4 linked regions of the Caenorhabditis elegans genome follow. The protein of the gene in region 4 purifies or fractionates together with the protein of the main gene of each other region. This does not show direct contact. Each region holds a gene or a part of one and is shown on either strand. Other genes may lie near its edges.

Evidence for each region.
Region 1: the proteins of gst-7 (region 4) and ZK1307.1 fractionate together in Caenorhabditis elegans (co-fractionation; one large-scale study listed by BioGRID). This does not show direct contact.
Region 2: the proteins of gst-7 (region 4) and hphd-1 fractionate together in Caenorhabditis elegans (co-fractionation; one large-scale study listed by BioGRID). This does not show direct contact.
Region 3: the proteins of gst-7 (region 4) and dbd-2 fractionate together in Caenorhabditis elegans (co-fractionation; one large-scale study listed by BioGRID). This does not show direct contact.

The regions. Positions count from the first base shown.
Region 1 is NC_003280.10:9,653,784-9,657,307, forward strand, and holds ZK1307.1 (Amidinotransferase), read right to left. Parts: upstream 1,798-3,524; 5' UTR 1,749-1,797; coding exon 1,740-1,748; intron 1,636-1,739; coding exon 1,343-1,635; intron 1,286-1,342; coding exon 1,210-1,285; intron 1,157-1,209; coding exon 920-1,156; intron 873-919; coding exon 648-872; 3' UTR 562-647; downstream 1-561. Other genes in the region: ZK1307.2 (uncharacterized protein), read right to left, coding at 18-88; gstk-1 (Glutathione S-transferase kappa 1), read left to right, coding at 2,966-3,034, 3,217-3,524.
Region 2 is NC_003280.10:12,993,792-12,998,100, forward strand, and holds hphd-1 (Hydroxyacid-oxoacid transhydrogenase, mitochondrial), read right to left. Parts: upstream 2,554-4,309; 5' UTR 2,457-2,553; intron 2,406-2,456; 5' UTR 2,402-2,405; coding exon 2,290-2,401; intron 2,215-2,289; coding exon 2,147-2,214; intron 2,098-2,146; coding exon 2,015-2,097; intron 1,961-2,014; coding exon 1,369-1,960; intron 1,318-1,368; coding exon 1,006-1,317; intron 956-1,005; coding exon 838-955; intron 789-837; coding exon 676-788; 3' UTR 571-675; downstream 1-570. Other genes in the region: Y38F1A.7 (uncharacterized protein), read right to left, coding at 3,253-3,513, 3,776-3,861, 3,911-4,013; Y38F1A.8 (Serpentine Receptor, class T), read right to left, coding at 4,309-4,309. UniProt on the Caenorhabditis elegans protein: Catalyzes the cofactor-independent reversible oxidation of gamma-hydroxybutyrate (GHB) to succinic semialdehyde (SSA) coupled to reduction of 2-ketoglutarate (2-KG) to D-2-hydroxyglutarate (D-2-HG).
Region 3 is NC_003280.10:4,561,321-4,563,982, reverse strand, and holds dbd-2 (DB domain-containing protein), read right to left. Parts: upstream 1,034-2,662; 5' UTR 1,033-1,033; coding exon 880-1,032; intron 791-879; coding exon 533-790; 3' UTR 523-532; downstream 1-522. Other genes in the region: M03A1.8 (ascorbate ferrireductase (transmembrane)), read right to left, coding at 1,514-1,657, 2,273-2,436, 2,481-2,560, 2,616-2,662.
Region 4 is NC_003280.10:4,880,266-4,883,874, reverse strand, and holds gst-7 (putative glutathione S-transferase 7), read right to left. Parts: upstream 1,784-3,609; 5' UTR 1,757-1,783; coding exon 1,624-1,756; intron 1,072-1,623; coding exon 584-1,071; 3' UTR 517-583; downstream 1-516. Other genes in the region: gst-8 (putative glutathione S-transferase 8), read right to left, coding at 1-121; gst-6 (putative glutathione S-transferase 6), read right to left, coding at 2,890-3,377.

The sequences.
Region 1 (3,524 bases), 4.8 Mb from region 4:
CTAAACTAAACAATAACCTTTCAAAAACCTCTGCATCAGAATATCCAATAAGAAACAAAATTCCAGATAATAAAGTAATCTTCTTCATTTGTTGAAATACAGAATATAATATTTTTTCTAGAAATGAATACCACAACAAAATACCCAAAAGAGAGATGAGAAGAAAAGTGATCAGTTGTAACATTACAATTCTAGAATTTCTCAGTGCCACCCTTACCCTCCTACCGGTTCTAGTATCTTTCTCATGTGATTTTTGTGGTTATATTTTCCAATGAAGATCATACAAATTGAAAGCTGAAAAGGTTCAAAACTTATCTGAATTTAAAATTAACTTGAAATTTAACTCGGGAATCCGTACTTTAACGGTAAAGCAGTGAAGTGAGAGAAAAATCAGAATTTTTTTTTTTGAAAAATTTTACGTACAACACTGATTTCTCGATAGCTTCACAATGCTATATTATAATAGCATCTTTTTTACTTGACTCTTTTTGGCTTAAGCTCAACCAAACTCTCAATTTTTTAGACGGCTTTTTGAAAGCCAACACTCCAATTTGAAATATTCCAGTAAACGCTTTATTTATTCAAAACTTCATCAAAGATTCACTATAAAAATTCAAATATCCAGCCATCAATTCATCCTATCACAATTAGAGCAATCTGAGCACCAAGCACTGACAAGCTCCACCACTTTTCATAAATTCACTCATATCAACTTCTTCGACACGTTTTCCACGAGCCGACAGATAATCCTTGGTTGCTTGAGAGACACCGATTGGGGAGATTACGGTATCACGAATAGTGATGGCGTTGCACACGAAAGCATTTGCTTCAGCTTCGGAGACAGCAATCGAGTTTGGAAGACGACGGAGGATCTGCACACAAAAAGTTTTTTAACTAGGGATTTCAAAAAAAAACTCACCTCCTTATTGGTTGCCTCAGAGAATGCAGGTGGGTAGTAGAGGGCGCTGGTCTCATCAACTGGAGCAAAACAAGTGTCCAAGTGATAAAAGTTTGGAAGAATCATATCACAGAGAACAATATCAAAAGTCCCGAGTGCCTTGATTTTCTCGTAGACAGACTTTGAACTACGCTCTCCATAACCAGCCCAAAGAGTTTTACGGTCAGAAAATACAGCATCTCCTCCGCCTTCGAAGATCTGAAATTTTATGTTTCAAAATGGAGAACAAAAATTCTCTGGCAAATTTATACCTCTTCATATCCTTCCCCAATAGTTTTGATATTGTTCTTCTTGAACCATTCCAAGTAGAGTGGTTGCTCACCGCTTCTGTAAAAACATAAAATGTTTCACACACAATTTCCTTTATTCTTTTTTCAAACTCACCTTTCCTTATGCCTGAATCTGGACAAGTAAACCTGATCATCATAGACCAATCCACTATTACAAACGAAAACTTGATCTGGAAGACCCTCTGTTTGCTCCATTGTCAAAACTGGAACACCAGCGTTTTCGATTGCAGATTTCAAAGAATTCCATTGCTGATGAGCTTTTTGCTTGTCAACAACTCCTCCCATCCATGGATTGATTGTGTATTCGACTGTGAAATGCTTTGGTGGAACCATCAACACTCTCTTCAGAATATGGGCAGCAGATTTTGCAGCAGACATTGTTTCAGACTGAAAATTCAATTGTTTAATTAGTTTTCAAAATCATTTTAACTCAAAAAGTAAAACCAGTGTTTCTAATTTCCAAACTGACAATTAAATAGGTCCAAACTCACATCAGACATTATTATATAGCAGGTTCAATATCAAATAACTATTGTTAATAGTCTACTCGAAATTGAAATGATGCACCGAGCTAACTAGTATCTTATCAGTTTTTATATTGATACGATTTGTTATCAAATATTGGTATAAAGGTGTTAGCAGCTAGTCTGCAAAAAGTTCAAACTTTCAAAAATTATAACACCTGACAAAAAATTTAAATTTTCAAACAATTTTTAGTCGTAACTTTAGAAATTTAACAAATATTCAAGGAGGAAGTTGAATGTTAAACTAGATAGTTCAAAAAGTAGAACCAAAAACGCGCGAGAAAATAAAAATAAAAGAATAACAATGTACACCCGTGGTCATTTTATTATCCTCCCTCCTTCTTCCCCGAACCCTTGTAAATCTTTCAATATGTCTTGATGGCCTTATTACGTCACAATACATATTGTGATTGCAGATCTTGATTGATAAAAATTCCAAATGAATTATGATCACAGGAAAAATGTTTTCTCGGTGTCAGGTGCCAGGTGTCAGGTGCAGGTACTCAAAAGACACCGGCAAATGAATTCCAAAGGTTTGTGCTTTGAAAAGCTCCAAAGATCCTTGCTATGCAAAATATGTCAATGGAAAAAGAAAATAAACATTTTTAAAAGAAAGCTTTTATGAAAATTCCATGTAAAAAACGCGAATTGGGACTTTCCAGGTATCCAGAAAAGCTTTAATTTTTGAAAGGTTAAGAAATTGATATACGCGTTTTCCAAATATCCAAGGTATTCTTGTAGTTTCCCCAATGCATCATTCAAACCAAGAGAGCTAGACGCAGAGAAACCAGATTGTCTGTCATCTCTGCGTATCTTTTTCCCGATACAAGCTACAGTGTAGTCTCACGGTGTGGAACAAGTCACCACGTTGCTTTACTTCTCTAGAACTATTATTTTCCCACGTTATTTTTGCATCTATCTTCATTTCCCACTTTCTTATCACTGCAAACCGAACATAGATCACAGTTCGTTGTCTCGAAAACTTATAAAACCACACGGTTGTTTGTGCAATTTTTATTTAATTTTTTAAACGGGTTCTCAAAGAAAAATTGCAGAAAATATAACTTTGATCTACTTTATCGTTCCCGCGAATATTTTTCAAAACATCTTTTCCAAATCTACACTCAACTTACGGATTTTTGTCTTGCAGATTTCCGTTCGCCGTGCCCAAAAATTCGAATTAATTTTGGAAAATGCCAAAACTTCCACGTATCGACTTTTATTTTGACGTGATTTCTCCGTACAGTTATATTGCTTTTGAGGTTGGTTTTTTTTATATACGATATTACATAAAAAACTGTGGTTGTACGCATGTGTCGATGGTTCTCTTATCCTAGGAAGTCAGGAATTTTTTTTGAACAGTGTTACGGTACAATAATATTTTTTAGTTTTAAAATTCGTAAATTTATTATAGTTATAGAAATTATGCAATGATAAATTGCAGGTCTTCCAAAAACTGGAAACCCAATGGAAAGGAGTAACAATCCGTTACATTCCATTTTTCCTCGGAGCCGTCATGAAAGAATCAGGAAATCGTCCTCCAGCAATGCTCCCAGCTCGATCAATTATGATGATGACTGATTTGAAGCGAACTGCAAAGTTCTGGGATATTCCATTGACTCCACCACCATTGTTCATGGAATGGATCAAAAAGTACCGTACTACTGGAGCAATGAAGGTTTTGTTGGTTTTGCAGGAGCAGGATAAGGAGCTGATGCTCCGAGCAGCTCGGGAAATGTGGGTCAGATTGTG
Region 2 (4,309 bases), 8.1 Mb from region 4:
GGAAAAAAACCTTCTTATCAATTTTTCAAATATTTTAAAAGCCATAAAAATATTTTTTTAAATTTTTAGCAAAGTCTCAAAATCTAAGTTTTGTTTTCAAAAATATAGAAATTTTAAAATTATTTGTTAAGTTTAATGTTAGAAAAGTTCGTGATGACATTAATGATAATGAGATATGAAAATTGACCATTTTGCCAACGAATTCCTAAAAAAATTCAACCTTAAAATATGCCAAATTTCCAAAAGAACCCAGTGTATCGCCGTACCTGGTCTCCAAAATCCTGCTATTCTCGACAATTCTCTCAAAACATACATAGATCCTTGATAACAGCCAAGGCCAAAAAGCTTTCAGCAACAAAATTCAAATATGCCGGCACGCCGCGCTTCAAAGGACATTCCTACGATTGTTTGCGTGTCGCGTAGTAATGTTTCTTCGTTCTTCCCCGCCTCTAGTCATCCCTAATTAGTACAGTAAGCCGGCAATATTTAAACGGTTCCTTGAAGAAAAACGGGGGGGGGGGGTGAAGGATTCTAATTATTCTGGTGACACCTGGCGCCATTGTTTTGTTTCTGTTTCTGTTTCTTTATTTATTCTAAATACATTTACATTGAACATAAGAAACAATAACGTATATGGTACAACCAATAATAAAATAAGTACAATAAGAAAAATGACTAATAAACCGTAAGGGACTTCTCGTACAGAGTGCTGATAATTTCACGATCCGCAGACTTTGGAGAGATTGCAATATTTGGGACGGAGTGGCTGGCTGCTTCAGTAAGCATTTCTGAAAATAGTATAATATAAGGCAGTTCAACTAGAGAGAGGTGTTCTACCAATATCAGAAAATTCGAATCCCATTCCTTTCAGTCCATTTGGAACTCCAAAGTCTCGCATATAACCTCTCAGCCGATCACAAAGAGTTCGGGAAATGTACTCATTGCTGGCATTGTTCTGGAAATATCTAGTTAGTTCAGAACCATCTTGGTGGCCAATTTACATACCGGAATATCTGCACCAAGAGTCTGTGCAGAAATCAAATGTCTATCTGGGCACGCGGCAGTTGTAAACTCGAAATCAGCCACTGCGGTTGTCATTACAGAGAGTCCATGTGGAATCAAGTTCTTCTCCTTTGGATAATCATCAGCCACACAGCTTTTCGCCTGGGAGCTGATTGGGTAGGAGAGTCCGTGGCAAAGATGAACCCCAGCGTTTCCGAATCCAATCCCAGCAAATGAACTAGCCTTGAGCATTTCTGTACGAGCTTCTTCGTCGGTTGGATCGAAGATAGAACGGCGGAAGTATTTTCCAATGATCTGAAATTATATAAATTCATTTAGAGCTTCATGGTTGAAATTCCAACTCACTCTCAAAGCCTCTTTACTCCAGACATCACTGATCGGGTTGGAACCTTGATAAAGTGGACGAACTCCTGGATTCTCAGGGCGTGGAGATCTTTGATCGAATGGCAAAGCTGTGAAGCTTTCCAACGCGTGACAGAGAACATCGAAACCAGAATAGATTGCCACGTTTCGAGGCATACTCATCACATTCAACGGATCCACAACTGCCAAGTACGGCTTGATGCAACGAAGTCTGATTCCAGTCTTGCACTTGTGCTCTGGAAGATCCATGATTGCAGCCGCGGTAGTCTCGGATCCAGTTCCAGCAGTTGTTGGCACAGCGATCAATGGGAGCATTGGGTTCTTTGGTTGCATGGATTTTCCGAATGGTGGTCCAACAAAGTCGAGGAAGTCCGCTTCTGGATTAGAAGCATATAGAGCTGCAGCCTTCGTCGTGTCGATCACAGATCCTCCACCAACAGCGATGAAACTATCGAATTGCTTCGATTTGGCAAATGCGATTGCTTTCTGCATACTGTTGACGGTTGGCTCAATGAGCACATCATCAAACACCTCATACTCGATATTCACCATTTTTAAGGCTTGCTCGGCGTTTCTAAAATTTGTCTGTTGAATAATTTTAGAGCTTTAAAGCTTTCCTATAACTCACTTAAAAGCGATCGTATTCTGCACATTCTTATCAGTGATAAGCAACGTTTTCTTTGCTCCGAGATTACGGACGTCGTATCCAATCTGATAAAGTTCACAGTTGAGTTAGTGATGTGTGATATTGCTAGCAAACCTCCAACGTGACTCCTTTTCCGAAACGAAGAGTTGAGCACACCATCTCGAACGCGTAATCTGTTGACTCTGAAAATATTGGTTTTTTAGAAAGTTTTCAGGCAGGCACGCCTACCTGCGTGCCTGCTCGGGTAAAAAACTAACTGTTATTTCCATGAAGCTTTGCAAGTTTGAATGGATTTGTAGCTGGGGCATGGTGAGGACAGCATGAGCCGCCCATCTTGCTCAGTATTCCACGTGCCAGACTTGCACTCATTTTGCTGAAAAAAAGAAAAGTATAAAACAATTGCCACGTGCCAACAAAAACTCACAAATAAAATGTCGTAAACGCAATGAAATCGAGAAATAAATTGATTCGTAAGGTTTTTATTTAAAGAATTTAATTTTTAAATTCAATAAATAAATCGCGCCAACAATAATTATTATCACGTTTATGTACAAACACGTGGAGAAATAGAGAAGAAAACAAGTGGAATGGAGGAGAGAGGAGAGACGCAGACGGGCAAACAGCAGTGATCAGTTTTCGAACATTAATGTGAGGGGAAGATGGTTTGATCTGAATAGACTCGTGGGCACAAAAGTTGAAATTTTGGCTTGCAAGCTAATTTCAGCTTTTGAAATCTTGTTTTTTTTTTCAGAAACCAGCAAGATGTCGGCTGCTAGAGGCGCTCCAAAAATTAAGATTTACAGGTTTCTAAATTAGTATTTGAACCCGGAAAGTGTCGGCTGCAAGACTATTCTTTCAGTTGTCTTGGACGGGCCGACGTCTCACGGGTTGCTGAAGCTATGAACCACATGAGCTCAGTTGCTGGTAGAAGCTTGTAGTTGTAATCTTGTACGAGATTCGAACTCGGAGATTAGTAAGAGTTGGAAAATGACAAATTTTAGATCATGAAGAAAAACAGAAAATCGCTAAATTTGTCAAAACGTCTCTGAAATTGGCAGTCTCCCCCGCCCTAGATTTTTCAGGATTCCAACTTTTCTCATGGTTATGGCTGTTTTCAGCCTCCAAAGTCATTTATTACACATCCATAGTTTACAACAGAAAAACACTAGAATAAACAAAAAATAAAATAAAAACTAGACATCGAGTTCACTTCTGAGCTTTCACGGATTCGCATTGTAGAAGACATTCTTGTTCGGCTGCTCCGCTTTTCCAGGTGGCGCCATTGCAATGTAGTGAACCATCGGAGCAAGTTGCTCCGGCTCCATCAAAATCTCAACTGGTTTTGGAGCAGAATCACCTGCCTTTTTCGGATCCTTTGGCAGAGCAAATGCAGATGAACCATTGGGGTTTTTGTCGAATTTCTCCCGCAGCTCGTTGAGGGCATACTCGGTTTTTGCCTTGTAGTGGAATCGAATGAAGAGCTGGAAAAGAGAGAATTAGATAGATTTTTGGTAAAATTTTTTTGTGTGCATGAGAAACGCTAGCCTATGTGCCTACAGTACGTGCCTGCAATTGTTTAAAAAAGGAACAAGAACTTTTGGATATGAAAAACGTAGAAAAACGATAAATTGTAGTTCAAAATATCTCAAAAACAAAAATTCCTGCTCAGGCGTCGAAGGCGTAGGCAAGTAGGCAGGCATTTTCATATTCCACAACACAATAATCTTGTAGCCAGAAACTCACATGAACAGCTAGAAAAATGACAATCATGACCAGGATAATAGCCATAAAAACGTCAACTGTCTCCTGAACTTGACCAGTCACAACACCTACAATTTTCAGAACTGTTAGAGTATGAGATATTGTGGACAAGCTCACTCAATCCATCACTGTACGGGCCATTTTGAGGATCTGAAAATCCAAGGTTTAAGATGTTGAAGTCCAGGAGTTTTGGCTCCAAGTCGAGCAGTAGTGGCTCCATAATTTGTAACTTTTTTCAAAACTCACAATAGCTATTTCTGACGAAAGTGAGGTTAGACATCCTCCTCGAATTGTGAAAACTTTGGAAATACATTTTATTTCCATTTATTTGGATATATCCACGTCAGATTATTTTTGTTGTTCCAACTCATTCTCTTCTCAAAATATAAAATATTTTTTAATACAAATTACACGTTTTTATTCACTGATTGTAAAATTGTAAACTATATGTACAAACACTGGATTGGGGAACCCGTTGAAATCGAGGTTTAAAATCTACAGAAAAAATAAAAAGTT
Region 3 (2,662 bases), 320 kb from region 4:
TGTGAAGCCTTATTGTACTACAGTGTGAGCCGCCCCGACAAACACTCGACTCAACAGCTTTTTCCTTCAAATTGTCAAAACAAAACAATACGAGAAAGAAGGCGAGACGTGAAACTTGGGAAAGTTATGTTGTTAGTTGCTGTAGCTTGGGTAAAGTAGTGATTGAGTACTGTATGATTACTGTAGTTTTGGAAAATGGGGGAATTTTGTAGGACATTGCGGAAACATGGAACTAGGTCCTAAATCCGGGCTTTCTACCGGAAATTTTGAGTTTGAAATTTCATAAACTATATTTTCTATTTCACCTGGAAAACTGGGCCCTGTAACGACAATTATGTCTGAGATCGTGGCGAGACCCACTTGGAAAAACATCATGTGCCTTTGAACTGGCAATTCCAGAACTCCGGACAAGCCAATCAAAAGACAAAATAGCTTGGAAAACTGTTAACTTTATCATCAAGTTGATCTTTATTCCATATTATTAAATACACGTTTCATAATATAAAGAAAATTTCAATTATTATATTTCCATTTAGAGCTTCTTGAATGGCTCGTTCTTGTCCAAATGGTTGTAGAAGCAATCACGGATCTCGTTGAAGTTCTCGGTACAGAAAGCATAGTCCAAATAGTTGGATGGAGCTCCCTTATGAGCGGTACAGTACTTGAGGCATTCTCCAGAGACACCGGCCTTCTTGCAGCAGTCCTCGTGGTTGTGACGGAGGGAAGCACAATCCCACATTTCTCCGACAGTTGGTCCACGCTCTCCGCAAGTCGACATGAAGTTCAGAATCTGAAATAAGAACGTGTAATGGTTATTTCTAGTAAGCTGACTAAATACATCAGAATTGACGCGCAACTAGCTCTCAGGAGACAACTTACGTTAGCTTGAGAAAGAGCATTGAAGTCACAGAATCGATCGACGCACTCCTTATCGGCATCCTTCAACGTGGCACAGCATAGCTTCAGCTTCTCATTTGGAGTAGCAGCAAGAGCAAGAAGTGGGAGAGCCAGGAGAATTGCGAAGCGGTTCATTCTAGAATTAATTACTATGAATATAGATATGTTAACTTTGAAAAATAAAAGAAAACTGCAACAGGTGGAAGATCGAAGAAATGAAGAATACACAGCCTATCGGTGTCAAGGCCCGGACTATTTAAAGGGTCACCCGGAAGACTCCACCTCTGACATATTGAGGTCAGGCTGTGATAATAAAAGAGATAAGATATCACTCCCTATCATAACAATCCTATTTCCTAGAACACCAGTCACCATTGTACTTTTATCGGATTTTTTGAGGCCGGTCAATGTTGCGAAAGATGAATTGCATGTAATAATGTATAGACTCTGTTATAAGAAGAAACATATAGAAAATATATATTTATTTTCTAGAAGAGATAGTTGGTGATAAAGTGAGAAAGAGGACACACACAGCCGTTTAATGGATTATTGCAGGTCAGGTCAGAAAGAGAAAAGTGGTTGGTACGAGAATTAGTTGTCATTGAAAAAGAGGTGATTAGTCATTTTTGAATCCATTTGCAATCAGAAGAGATAATGAAATGGCGACACCGAAGCAGATTCCAACAACGGCGAACATCCATGAGATTTGGATAAGTTGAAGACGCTCCGGTTTTTTGGAATTTTTTTCGGATTTTTCGATCTGTAAGTTGTGTCTTTTGTGGAACATTTTTTTGTGTTACAAATGTTGAATTGAAAAATTTGTGACGTTAAAGTTAGTCTTAATTTTTGTAGAATTTTTTGCTTGAAAATTTTAATAAAACATGTTCTTTTTACCTTAAAAATTCTAGTTTTTTTTCTCAAATTTGATGCAAAAAATTGCAATTCAGGTGCTTTGAACATTCAACAAAATTCTGAAAATTAAGAAAAAAATTCTCAAAAAATATTCAAACTTCTTGTGCGCGGGAATTCAAGTTTAAAACATTTTTAAACTCATTTTTCTCACTGTTTACCGAAACTATTAGTTTTACAAATGAGATATTATGTTTTGGATCACTAACTTTTTTAGAAACTTTTCCCCCTTTTCCACACTTCTTTAATACTAAATTATCAATTTTTGTTGCCAATAATTGAAATAAAAATAAATTAATCATTTAATCTCCAGTGATTTGGCCTATATTGCCCGTAGGAGTAAACTACATACGGACTGCTGGTTCATGTGATTCGCAACATGATATGGTATGATCTTCGTAGAAATGTTCTTATTGCATAGGATATTCCAACTTTAGAACTTTAAATGCAAATTGAAAAATCTTACCATTTCAACTTCCCTATACCCATTTCTCTGCTCGCTTTCCAAATACAAAACTACGAATCCTGTGGCGATACACAAAATGGTCGGCACACTGGTCAGCACAATTTCCATTGTTGGCTCTGACCATGTCTTTCGATAATTGGCGGCAGCCACGTAGATTGCGGCCACTTAATTTGTATAAAAAGTTTGAATTCTAGTCATGGAAACTTACCAGCAAAAGTGTAGGAGAGAAGGCCAACAATTCGATGAGCCCAATTAAAAATTGAACGTTGTGAGTTGGAAGGTGGGCATCTGGAATAAATAAAAAGTATAAAATTTTGCTATTTTTTTACAAAAATAAATCTACCTCAACAAACTATTCAACGGCTGGGAGAATGCCAGAATAGTAGAAAT
Region 4 (3,609 bases):
CTGCCCATTCCTCTATTGAAATTCTATGATCCTCAAAGCTTTGTCCAGCATATACAAATATCTGTCGAATAACCTCTCCAGCTCCACGGATGGGGAAATATGATAGCTTGTAGTGGACCATTATTACTACCACTTTTCAAGTAATTGGGGAGTACAAGTCTGTGATACAGTTTGAAATAAAAACCAAGAAGTTTCTATTTATACTCATATTCTCTAAGTGTGTGTGTACTGTTAAGTCATCACTGCTTTGATCGCACTCTGCTGACAACAAACCACAAATATAGTTTGGCGTTATGTCTGTTTCAATGAACTGGTTGAATTAGATAAATGTACATTAAAATAAAGAGTATATTGGAAACTTTAAAGTTTGTCATCATTTACTCTTCCCACTGCGCAGATGTTACTGACAACTCAGTTCAAAAAGTGCCTTTTCATGATGATTCGGATGTCTGAACAAATATATCGGTTGCTTCTGCTATCTTATTTTTTAGAGAACTTTTCAGAATAAATAGATTTCAATGCAATCATTTATCCCATATCAATACAAAAATACATAAAGAGACCATGTGAATTTGGAAATCATTTAGAATGGAGTAACTGGACGAGTCTCCAACCACTTCTTGATGTTGGCATTCGAGTGAACCTTTTCCTGATGAGCCTTGAATTGTGGGAATTCATCGAGAAGAGCTGCGTTGGCAGCCAGAAGATCAGCAGTGTGCTGAGCGACGAGCAAGTCGACAAAGGTCAAAGAGTCTCCAACCAAGTATCCGGATCCAGCCGACTTGAGGAAGTTAGCAAAGAATCCATAGTGCTTCTTGAATCCTGGAAGGAAGACGTCCTTGGCAAGAGCATCGAGATCTCCTTCAGCAAATCCCATCTTCACCATGAAGTATGGACGAACTTCGTTGAGGTAATCCTTGAATTGATCAGCAACCGAGTTGACTTGAGCCTCCTCCCATGCACACTTTCCATTGATTCCGAACTGACGAGCCAAGTAACGGGCGATAGCATGAGATTGGGCAAGAACCTTTCCGTCAACTTCAAGGAGTGGAAGCTGTCCGAATGGAGTGCCTGAAAAATAATATAATTAAAACCTAAAGTTCAAAGTTTTCTTTGAGTAAACAATCATTGACTCCAAACTTCTATCTCTCAGTCATACCAAGCACTTTGTTTACATCTCTAGGTGTCAAACTGCCTAGAGTTTAGCCTTGAATTTTTTTTTCCTTTTTCAAGGTCTATTCATTCGAACACCGAAATTTCAATAACTTTCAAAAAGTAACTCAATAACAACTTCAATCTACTCTAAAGGCAAAAAGGCAATTTGTGTGACCTAGTTAATAGGAACAGGAAAGGTAAGGAATATACCGTACCTGCTACTTTAACGGCTTACATCTCGGTTCTCTTAACTTTTATCAAAAAATGTTTAACTGACAATATTTAAAAGTATATTCTTCACGTATTTTGTCAGTCAAAATTTTTTTGATAAAACCAAAGACAGCTTAACTAAAAGCCTGCAACTATTTCTAAAATGAATTTTTAATTTGGAACTACTTATAAGATTTCAACTAACAATTTCAATATCTATGCACCTATTCAAACAATAATTTTCAATCCCAAACTCACTTGGCTTGACAGCTGGCCATTCCTCCTTTGGGATTCTGTTGTCCTCGAAGTCTTGTCCAGCGTAGGCCAAGATCTGACGAGCAATCTCTCCAGCTCCACGAATTGGGAAGTACGATACCTTGTAGTGGACCATTGTTGAAATAACCAAGCAAGAAATCGAGTGGTCGATGAGAAGGGTTGAACACTGAATGCCGGCCGTCTCTATTTATACCCATTTCTCAAATGTCTGTCGTCTCTCCACTCACCATATTCTGTAGTTTGTCATCATTTGCTCTACACATTGCGCGCACGTTGTTGACTAGAAATCATAAAGTGTAGTCATCGTTTTTTGTTGTTGCAATGTTACGATGAACAGAGTAGGTCAAAATAATATTGGTTGAAAAAAATATATGCAAGGTTTTGTGACTTTTCCAGATCTTTCGAAGGGAATGTTGTGTCACAATTTGTGACTACTCACAAATATAAACCCATGGCATCAATCATCTTGTTACGCTTGCCATTATTATTGAAGATACCATGATAAGAAACTACTATAACTGACACAAAAAGTCACAAAAAATATTTTTTTTTGTTTCTGAAATTTTTCCGACAGTACAACACAATTTCATAATCTCGCGCAAAAGAGGCGTAGGCATTTACCGCAGCCTACGTGCCTGCCTACAGCCTAATTTCTGGGAAGGTGCCTGATGAACAATGATTTCCTATGGAATTTGTCTTTGAAATAATTTAAGTCTCACTTTGAAACACAAACGTGCTTTCTTTTGAGGGTTATACACCTGCCTTTGAAAAGACTATCCTCCAAAAATAAATAAAAGATTACATATTTATTGTGCCCACCGAAATTTGAAAATTCTTATTATGTTCATGTTCCAGAAAACGACGCTTTTGTAATTTTTGACAATAAAAGTCAAATTAACATTATGACGTGATTGGTTTTGTGCTTTGAACATTGTGTCTCACCAGGGAATGTTCGGAAAGTTTTAGCTATGATGGTAAACCACAAAGGAAGGCGGTGTAGGTCTGATTTGTACCTAAAAGCATGCCTACTTCCCAGGCTTTTGTAAATATCCTGTATATTTCAACACTCTTGCAATGCAAAAAGCTTCTATAGAAACATCCTGCTGAAAACTTTACCATAAAATTTTTAAAAGAACAATTCATTCAAGATATTTTAGAAACATCGATTTCCATTAAAACAAATTAGCAAAAAATTGCTTCTTGAAATATGAATTAAAAAATAATACAAAATTGCAAACTCATTTCAATTTAGAATGGGTAATCTGGACGGTTTGCAATATACTTCTGAATTCTGTCGATGCTCTGAACCTTCTTACGATGTGCCAAAACCTTCTTGAACTCCTCAACAACTGCCAAATCTTTATCCAAAATATCTTGAACGTGCTGCGAAATCAAAAGATCCACCCATGTCAAAGAGTTTCCAACAAAGAAACCACTGTGATTAGATGCCAGAATGTTCTCGAAAAACTCGAAATTCTTTTTGAAAGCTGGAACAAAAACATCAGTTCTCAGTTGATCCTTGTCTCCAGGTTTGAATCCAGCAAGAACTGTTAAATATGGGGAGACATCGTTGAGATAATCCTTGAATTGATCAGCAATTGCATCCACTTCTGCCGCCTCGGTGTCATTTTGTCCAGCAATTCCGAACTCTCTGGCCAAGTACCGAGCAATTGCATATGACTGTCCCAATGGTTTTCCATCGACTTCCAAAATTGGCAATTGACCGAATGGAGTGTCTAGAAATTTGAAATTTGAGGAGAAGTGTTTTAAAATAAAATCTAATCTTAATTTTAAAAAAGTATGAAGGTCTTAGAAAATTTTTCGGATTAGTTCGATCTCCAGGAGCGACTTTTCCACAGTGTCCAAGATGTTGTCAGAAAGCACAATTCCATAAAAAGTTTCAAGCATCAAGTTTTCCTCGTACCTACAACCTTTTTTCTGAACTTCTGACTGATCACCCTAAATCAG